Linked DNA regions of Neurospora crassa OR74A. The protein of the gene in region 2 interacts with the protein of the main gene of each other region in a pairwise test. Links are inferred from orthologs where the notes say so. Each region holds a gene or a part of one and is shown on either strand. Other genes may lie near its edges. The genes, in order: NCU03028 and rpt-1.

Region 1 (4,439 bases), about 550 kb from region 2:
TTCCTCCAACATCCACTCCTCCTCCTCCCCACCGTCTAACAAGCCCCCACCACCCAACGGATACCGCATATCCAACTACATGCTAATCCGCCTAATGACTACCTTCTGCGTCGGCAAAACCGTGGCCGAATGGCTCAAGGGCCATATGGATTCCGGCTTCGACGTCCTACGGTACGTGGACGTTCGCCGCTTAGTTCAATTTGGCGTCATCAAGGGGTGTTTGTACAGGGTGCACAAGTATGTTATCTCGAAACAGTATCTGGCTGCGCTAGCTACGGGGTTGGCTAGACCTGTTTCGCCATCCGACACCGGAACTGGCACAGGCAAAGGGAAAAGTGGGAGGGGGTATGGCGAAGGGGAAATGGGGAGGGAACATAAAGTGGCGGTGCCGGGCGGACATTATGATACCTATCGTGAACCCGGGAGTCATGGGGGTCCGGGGGGGAAGGGGTCGAACAGCAAGAAGATGGCGATGATGATGAAGGCTAGTGGGGATCCGTTGCAAAAGTATATGGATGGACGACATTGTTTTGATCAGATCATGACGGAGAGGAACATGACGGACGCGGAGATTATGGATAAATTGAGGAACTTTCCGGTGCCGGCTGGGGATTTGACGGTGCTTTATCGGTAGAGGGAATGATAGCATGCAAATAAGAGTTGATTAGTGGTGTTGATAGTTAGCCCGGCTACTGTATGCGAACTCGTCTTCTTAGAGGACAAAAGAACCTTGTTGATTCAAGCAAGAGGAGACATGTTTGATAAAGATCGCTAAACTGTAAACATGTAAACCTCCTTACGTGAGGACACCCGCTGAAGGGGTGTTGTTTTGAGCATCGTCTCTGTGCTGGACTGTCTATCGTCCTCCTGAGCAACCATTATCGCTAGATATTTGATTAAAATATATCTAGCACGGCCCAACAATGACCTCGCCAGGAGATAACACTGCACTCCCTGGACATCCTTCAATCCACTATCCCCTCGACATTCTGTCGTTCATTGTGAATACCGCCGTATCCTTGAGGAACAGCAGATAACTGTCAATCTCCGGTCCACATCTCTGCACCGTCTAGTAAAGAAATTTAAGTTAAGAACCGCCCAGAAGATGTTCGATAGCACCCTGTACGCTACCACCGCTGCGGCGTAGTGCAGCAACGTTCCGATCAAAATCGAAGAAACCCATATCGTTGAGTTGACGCAGCTGCTCAGCATACCTCTCCTCTGGCGGCCTGTTGTCGGGAGGAGCAACGGGATTTCCGCCAAAACCACCCAAACCACCGCCACCAAATGCCTGCATCATCTGCTGCAAGGCCTCAGGCGAGATAGGGGGCAAACCAAAAGGGTTCGCGGCACCAGCCTGACCAGGCTGACCAGCACCTCCAAGCGCTCCGAACAAAGATGCCAACGGATCTGCTTGCTGCCCAGACCCCGAAGTGGCGCCAGTAGCCGGAGCAGATGCGGCATCCCCGCTCCTGGCACTCTCGGTCGAAGCTCCGGTAGACGCAGGCGAAGACCCCGCGGGGTTTCCAAAGAGCGCGGCAAAGGGATTACCTGCTGGGGGAGCGCCCGCCGGAGGAACACCAAATGGAAGAAACATGGCGAACGGGTTCTGCGCATCGGCATTGGCGTTGTTATTACCGGCACCGGTCGTCGCGTTCGGAGTGTTGTCCGTTACCCCGGGCGCTGGAAAGGCGTTGGCGCCTCCGCCCATCATCCTACGCATGCGTGCCGCCATGCGAAGTGCCTCCGGGTTCGTCATCATGTTGCGCATCATCGGAGAGTTGAGAAGCTCGCGAGCGCGATCAGCGGGCATGTTGGCCAACATCGGGTTGGAGGCAATCATCTGGTCGATGACGGCGGGGTTGTTGAACGCCTCGGCCATGACCTGGGCCATCGCTGGGTTCGAGAGCATGTTCGCGATTTCATCCTCGCTAGGAGGCGCGCCCATCTATAAAACATCATTAGTAAACAGCTATGTTAAGGGTCCAGGGGGCCGAGAAAGGGGTGGCGTACTCCTCCGTCCGGCCCAAACAGGTCTCGGCTTGGTAGCGGCACCTGACCGGCAAAGCGAGCGCCTGTGAGGCCAGCTAAAAGGTTATTCGAGGGAGTGCCGGCAGCCATGTTCTGAGGTATCGCGGGCTGAGCGGGTGTCGAGGTTGAGCCACTGCTGGCTGTCGCGGCGCTGGCTGGACGCTTAACCATGTGCACTGTGTTCATGTGCTTGATCTTGTAGAAACTAAGAACTTCATCGTCCTTCATGACCTTTCCGGAGTAGATGAGGCGTTGCTGCTCCGGCGAGATGTTCTCGTATTCCTCCCCCGCTAACAGGGTCTTGAGCTGAAGGACGGTCGCAGACTCGGCAATGGTGACTGTGTGGTTCTTGTCGCCTGAGCATTTTACTTTGAAGGTAATCTGGCCATCGCCGCCAGTATTTGAAGCCTCAGCCATGATTTCTATCGCTTTACGATTCGGCAATGAAACGGTTAATGGCGGTCGTGGATGATGACGTTGGTCTCAGGGGAGCTCCGATCGCCCCACGTTCGAGTTCAGCACTTTGTGATGGGATTATGTGAAAGCCTGCTGCAAAGTCGTTCGTATGGAATTACGATAGCTTCGTGTGCTGGTGAAAGTTGAGGAATGGTGATGCTACGGAAAAGGGTTGTGTTGGGAACCAAAGTAATTGAGTTGTTGTAATGTTGGAAGGTCACAGGCGGAGGCCGATAAGCGCTGCCGCCAACAGTGGCAGGTGGGTGGCATGGCATTAAGAGCCCCTCCACGGCAGGCAGCAGACCCCACTACAAGCCGTCATTAAGGTATACTAGGTAGTGTAGTGTTCACCGAGGTTCTTGCCTTTTTAGGCTTCACTTCTGTCGTTGAACACGACTCCATCCCTAACCCTACCTACCAAGTGCATGTTACAGTACCTTAGTACCCTACTTCAGCTTTCCCACAGGGCCTCGACGTAACGAACGCCGGTCACTAGGCGTATACATAGGTATACATACTACATGGAATCGATGGATGATACGAACGGTGCCTGATTGCAACTTCTGCGTGCCATATAGATGGTGAGCCACTATCTTGTCACCTACTAGTTCCAGTCAGCTGCGACACCTTGATAGTACTCTCCTGCTCTCACACCCATCCGCTTCTTTGAGGTTCTATCGGGCTCTCGGCATCCACATGACCTGACACCTGACCGGTTCCCCCCATCTTATCAGCTTGTCCAGTAGCTTTTGTTATCGCATGTGTGTGATGACAGGGTACTGTCGATTAGCTGCTGCTTCGAACCAAATCCATGTACCTTCTAAACTAATGGACGAGGGCGAATCGTCTCACTCTTTCCCTTGACAAACCTAAACCTCTTCCCTTCTCTGGTTTTGAACAAACTTTCTTCAGATGGCAGACACTTCATCGCTTCTGCCTACACTTTTATTCTGGTGGATGAAAGAAACTCAACGCATCAAACCTCCTACTTTGATGCGCAATCAGCATTCTTGAAGGTTCAGTGACCCTCAGCCGATAGCCGGTTTGGCGAGAATAATCTTTCGTTGATGTCTTCCGTCAAACCTGCACAACAAAATCGTATTCGCAAACTACTCACGTTTTCGGTTGATCAGTAGCGTTTGTTGTTATGGCGGCATTATATGGGCCGTCGCGTCAACCTCAGCGAACTAGGAGGTAGAACATATGGACTATACCAGACAGGTATGTACAGCTCAGAGTGCATGGTCCGTGGACCATGCCAGGATACTCCAGGTAAGTGTATCAAGGATATCGAGCATCTGCTCCTTCACCGCCTTGGTGTAGCCTTGGTGTACATCAAGACACATCTCTAACCGCACTTTAGAGCATACCGCCTAGGCAGTTCTTCTTGCTGCGGGCCAAGCAAGGATACGACGTGCTTAAGCGACCATTGTCTTCCACAAACCTTTGAGATCATGGAACTATTACACTATGATAGGCTGTCCGTCAATGCGAGATGTCGACGCACTAGCAGCGAGTGCCCTCACGTTGATGAGGATTCTTCTTCGTTCGTCCGTCTGAAGTGGAGTTGGCGTGGGCAAGGGCATGGACTGAGGAGGAGATCAGCGCTTTCCCAAGAGATGGCCCGTCAAGGTAGAGCTGCTACGCGTGCGACGCCGGTCATGTGGGTTGTTGTATACGGGATTCAGCGGACAGGCGCTGCCTGAATCGATCTCGTGAAATGCAACCTTCCGGTTCTGGGCCTCGAAGAGATCCAATCCCGGGCTTCGTTGAGGAAAGGCTGTGCTGCCACGTTGGACCGAAACTTATCGACAGACGACACCAGGATCCCAAGGATCTAATGGAATCTTCCTCGCTCGTTAGCAATGTCTCAAACTGCAGTTTTCATGGAAGGTCCCGCCCGCTGCATGTCTTTCAGCTACAGATGGTCTTTTTCCCATGCCGGCAAGCCA
Region 2 (4,544 bases):
GGCAACCAACAAACCAGAAATGGTCACGTAGCGGAGTGGTTACCGCGATGCTCTTGTGAGTCTTGACCCCGAAGATACCTTCTCCAAAGTGTTTGTCCCATACTAACACACGCAATTAGATACCTCCAAGCCATTGGAAGTTATGCATAGGTCCTGGGTTCGACCCCCAGCGCGACCACGGTTTCTAATTTTTTTGCAACTTTTCCCCCTTCGCTTGATTTCCATTTGTTTCCTTCCCCCCTTTGCATCCATGACTTGCCCCCAAGACCTCTCCGTGCTCCGGTATCTCGACGGCGGCACCCGACACGATTGAGCTACAGCTTCCTTATCGTTCAACGTAACCCGCCTTTTTGCCTTATCGCTTCGCTTGGATGGTGTCACTGCCAAGGGTATCCCGGGAGCAGCTCCGTCTCCCCATTTTGGAAGTCTGGATATCCACGGCGGCGGAGTCGTAACACCTCATCGTCACAATTCTCACCATGTCTGCCATGGAGTTTTGCTGTCACATTTTGTCACATAGGTATGCAATCGCTTCAAATCCATGTTCATCATCAACAACAGTAGGCATGATACCTATTCATTCCGCCCGTATGTTCATTTCGCTTGTCAGGAGAGCCTACTGCATTGTGCCTACTGTGTGGGATCTGGCGGTCCAAACTCTCCCAAGTCCCAGCTATGAGTGCCATCTCGAGCCGCTCTTGATTCATCATCTATTACACATCTAGACTTCCGGTTTCAACACAAACCAAAAACCCCAAACTCCCCATTCCGCTATTGATGCGCTTCTTCCTCCCCGTTTAGTTGTACTGGGCATAGGCCGCAGTAGAGTTGAACTTGAGGTTGCCCTTGATGACCTTGTCCACCGCACTCAAAAAGTCCTTCTCCGACGCCACCTTCCTGCGCGCACGGATGGCGAACATGCCCGCCTCCGTGCAAACACTACGCAACTCAGCACCCGTCGCGTTCGGGCACAGGCGAGAAATGAGCTCCCATCGGATATCGCGCTCGACTGACATGCTCTTGGCATGAATGCGCAGAATGTTGGCACGACCCTCGAGATCGGGGAGAGAGAACTCAATTTTGCGGTCGATACGTCCGGGACGCATCAGGGCGGGATCCAGCGTGGAAGGACGGTTAGTAGCGAACATAACCTTAATGTTGCCACGGGCATCGAAACCATCCAGCTGCGTAATGAGCTCCAACATAGTACGCTGAACTTCATTATCACCACCCGCGCCGTCATCGAACCGGGCTCCACCAATAGCATCAATTTCGTCAAAGAAGATGATGCAAGCCTTCTTAGTACGGGCCATCTCGAAAAGCTCGCGGACCATGCGGGCACCCTCACCGACGTACTTTTGAACCAGCTCGGAACCAATGACACGGATAAAGGTGGCGTCTGTCCTGTTGGCAACGGCACGGGCGCAAAGCGTCTTACCGGTGCCGGGAGGTCCGTATAGCAGGGCGCCCTTGGGGGGATCGATACCGAGGTTGACGAACCGCTCTGGCGACAAGAGGGGCATCTCCACGACCTCGCGTAGCTTCTCGACCTGTTCCTTGCAACCACCGACATCGCCGTATGTGACGTCAGGCTTTTCCTCGACCGTCATCATGGTAACGCTCGCATCGATCTTGGGAGGTAGCGGAAGGAGAATCTGATACTTGTTTCTGTCGACGCCGACGCGCATTCCTTCCTCGATATCTGTCGGGCTGACTCGCTCGCCCAGCTGGACAACAAACTTGGCGATCTGCTTGACGTTGATGACGTACTTGCTCTTCGATTCGTCCTTCTCGTCAGGGATGATCTTGGTGCACCGCGCTACCTGAAGCGGTTGCTCTTCTGACATACGCTGACGGTCGGCTGCCACATCCCAAAGGTGAGGGGGCGCAAGGCCGGTATCTGATTCCTGTAGACCAAAAAGTATCACTGGTCAGCTAGATGCGCTTCGCGGTTTGTAGGGTAGCCACCGCAAGACTAGCATACCTTGACGCCAATCTTCTCATCCACGCTCTGCTGCTTCTCCTTTATTTGCTGTTCTAGCTTCTTGATGGCAGCACCGTAGGGCGCGGCGCCGTATGTCTTGAGGACCTGAATATCCCTTGACGGGGGTTAGACGACTTGTCCGTTGCGGTGGTAGTGGTGGGCGGGCTCTCTTGGGCGGCAACATACTCGTCTGAGAGGGGAGTGATCTTCTTCTCCTCGACTTCATCGTCGCCAAACGTTTTCCTGTACTTCTCCCAGTTTTGACCTGTGGCAGAAGGCTATTCCCGGTGTCAGTCGTGCAAAGTGGCGTTGCACCTTTGGGTAGGGCGACTGCAAGCATACCATGATGACGGCGGGTGGGAATGACGCTTCCCGTTTGGACTAGGTAAGGCGAAGAAGGGTGGGTAATCGAAAGGATCGGGTCGGTAATTAAAGTCGCGATGGCTCCGGGCGAGAGATTCCTTGTTTGGCGTGGGTCGTTCGTGGGGTTGTAGAGATCTCGGCGCGGGTTTGATGTGGTGTGTCGGGTTCAAGTTGGTTTGATGGGTGTTCAGTGCTTGCTTGATGTGATGGATGGATGGATGGAGATGGTTCGTCAAGGTCCAACTGCCACCACTCACTGACAGAGGGTCGAAGCTCAATCGTTGCCGTAATCCATGCGCTGCCTTGCGGGCGAGGGAGCTACGGGTGGGTGCCACCTTGACAGCACCTACCTAACCCTATCCGGTTAGACTGTGTAAAGTTACAGCGCCGCAGGTACCTTTTCCACCGCCCACCGCTCAGCAAAAAGCAGCCGACAAAAAATTACCACCTGCCAGCCCACCTTTGCGCCCGCGCCAGCACTCACTTTACGGTCCCGCAGTGGAAACATTGGTACGGAGGGGACGGTGTGTGTGTGTGTTTTTGGCCCATTGATTCCAGACCAGCAAAGAAGGAGAAGAGGAGAGCTCTGCCTTACAACACAACAACTGCACTGCACCCAGCGCAAGCCGATTCCCCAAAACTGTCAACTCGAATTTCCGGCAGTTTCTGATCCCCCCATCCGACCTCCCGTCTACTATCTCCCATAATCCCAAATACCAGATCAAACAAGCTTGCACCATGGCGACCGCACCGGCAGCTACCCAGACGGCGAGCAATGCGACTTTCAGGGTGCGTCCCGCTTTTTGGAACCTGACCCCTCGATAGGAGTCGGTGCGAAAGCTCCAGGAGGAGGGGTGAAGCTCTGTGGCAAGCCAGTTGCTGATAGCCCACCATGTAAACAGGACAAGGAGAAGCCCATCGCCGTTCGCTCATCCAACATTGTCGCCGCCAGAGGTATGCCTACAACATTTTGTCATTCCGTCTTGTGTCGTTGTTGTCTGGGGTGCTGACACAGAGACATGCACCAGCCGTCGCCGATGCCGTCAGAACGTCGCTGGGACCGCGGGGTATGGACAAGATGATCATGACTGGAAAGGGGGAGACCATCATCACCAACGACGGCAGCACAATGTTGAAGAGCATGTCGGTCATGCACCCCACAGCCAAGATGCTCGTCCAGCTGTCGCACGCCCAAGATGTCGAGGCCGGTGATGGCACAACCTCGGTCGTCGTCCTTTGCGGTAGCTTGCTCGGTGCCGCCGACAGGCTACTAGGCAAGGGCATCCACCCCTCAGTCATCTCCGAAGCTTTCCAAAGAGCCGCCGCCGCTGCCGTAGACGTCCTCCACGACATGTCGCAACCCATCTCCCTCACAGATACCGCCTCGCTCCTCCAGGCCGCCAACACTTCGCTCTCCTCCAAGATCGTGTCACAATACTCCAACCTCCTCGGCCCCATGGCCGTCAACGCAGTCACCAAGACGATAGATCTCAAGACCGCCGAGAATGTCGACCTCAAGAACATCCGCATAATCAAGAAGGTCGGCGGTACGATCGAGGACAGCGAGCTGGTTGATGGTCTCGTCCTTACACAGCCCGTCATCAAGAGCGCTGGTGGTCCCGTCAGGATGGAGAAGGCCAGGATCGGTCTTATTCAGTTCCAGCTCAGCCCTCCCAAGCCTGATGTGCGTATACCTTTCTGGCGACCATAACCTACCCACCTTGCCTGCTGGCCCTAAATCGCCCAAACACTACCCTTTTCGTGCTTTTACTAACAACTCACTCTTACAGATGGAAAACACCATCTCCGTAAACGACTACCGCCAGATGGACAAGATCGTCAAGGAAGAGCGCACCTACCTCCTCAACATGGTCAAGAAGATCAAGAAAGCCAAGTGCAACGTCCTCTTCATCCAGAAATCCATCCTCCGCGACGCCGTCAACGACCTGTCCCTGCACTTCCTGCAGCGCCTCGGCATCCTCGCCGTCAAGGACATCGAGCGCGACGAAGTTGAGTTCATTTGCAAATCGACCGGCTGCAAGCCCATCGCCGACATCGACTCCTTCACCGAGGACAAGCTCGGCAGCGCCGACCTGGTCGAGGAAGTCAACTCCTCCGGTTCCCGCATGGTCAAGGTGACGGGCACCAAGTCCGCTGGCAAGACCGTGTCCGTCGTCGTCCGCGGCGCCAACAGCCT

The links.
Region 1: the proteins of rpt-1 (region 2) and NCU03028 interact in binary tests that used the Saccharomyces cerevisiae proteins (3 or more experiments, as listed by UniProt). The link is inferred for Neurospora crassa OR74A from reciprocal best matches to the Saccharomyces cerevisiae genes RPT1 and DSK2.

The regions. Positions count from the first base shown.
Region 1 is NC_026501.1:8,392,049-8,396,487, forward strand, and holds NCU03028 (deubiquitination-protection protein dph1), read right to left. Parts: upstream 2,718-4,439; 5' UTR 2,449-2,717; coding exon 2,014-2,448; intron 1,949-2,013; coding exon 1,088-1,948; 3' UTR 635-1,087; downstream 1-634. Other genes in the region: NCU03029 (hypothetical protein), read left to right, coding at 1-634. UniProt on the Saccharomyces cerevisiae protein: Involved, with RAD23 in spindle pole body duplication. Involved in the ubiquitin-proteasome proteolytic pathway.
Region 2 is NC_026501.1:8,944,263-8,948,806, forward strand, and holds rpt-1 (26S protease regulatory subunit 7), read right to left. Parts: upstream 2,897-4,544; 5' UTR 2,330-2,896; coding exon 2,327-2,329; intron 2,263-2,326; coding exon 2,171-2,262; intron 2,100-2,170; coding exon 1,985-2,099; intron 1,908-1,984; coding exon 798-1,907; 3' UTR 540-797; downstream 1-539. Other genes in the region: NCU02839 (T-complex protein 1), read left to right, coding at 3,086-3,136, 3,250-3,301, 3,376-4,031, 4,138-4,544. UniProt on the Saccharomyces cerevisiae protein: The 26S proteasome is involved in the ATP-dependent degradation of ubiquitinated proteins. The regulatory (or ATPase) complex confers ATP dependency and substrate specificity to the 26S complex.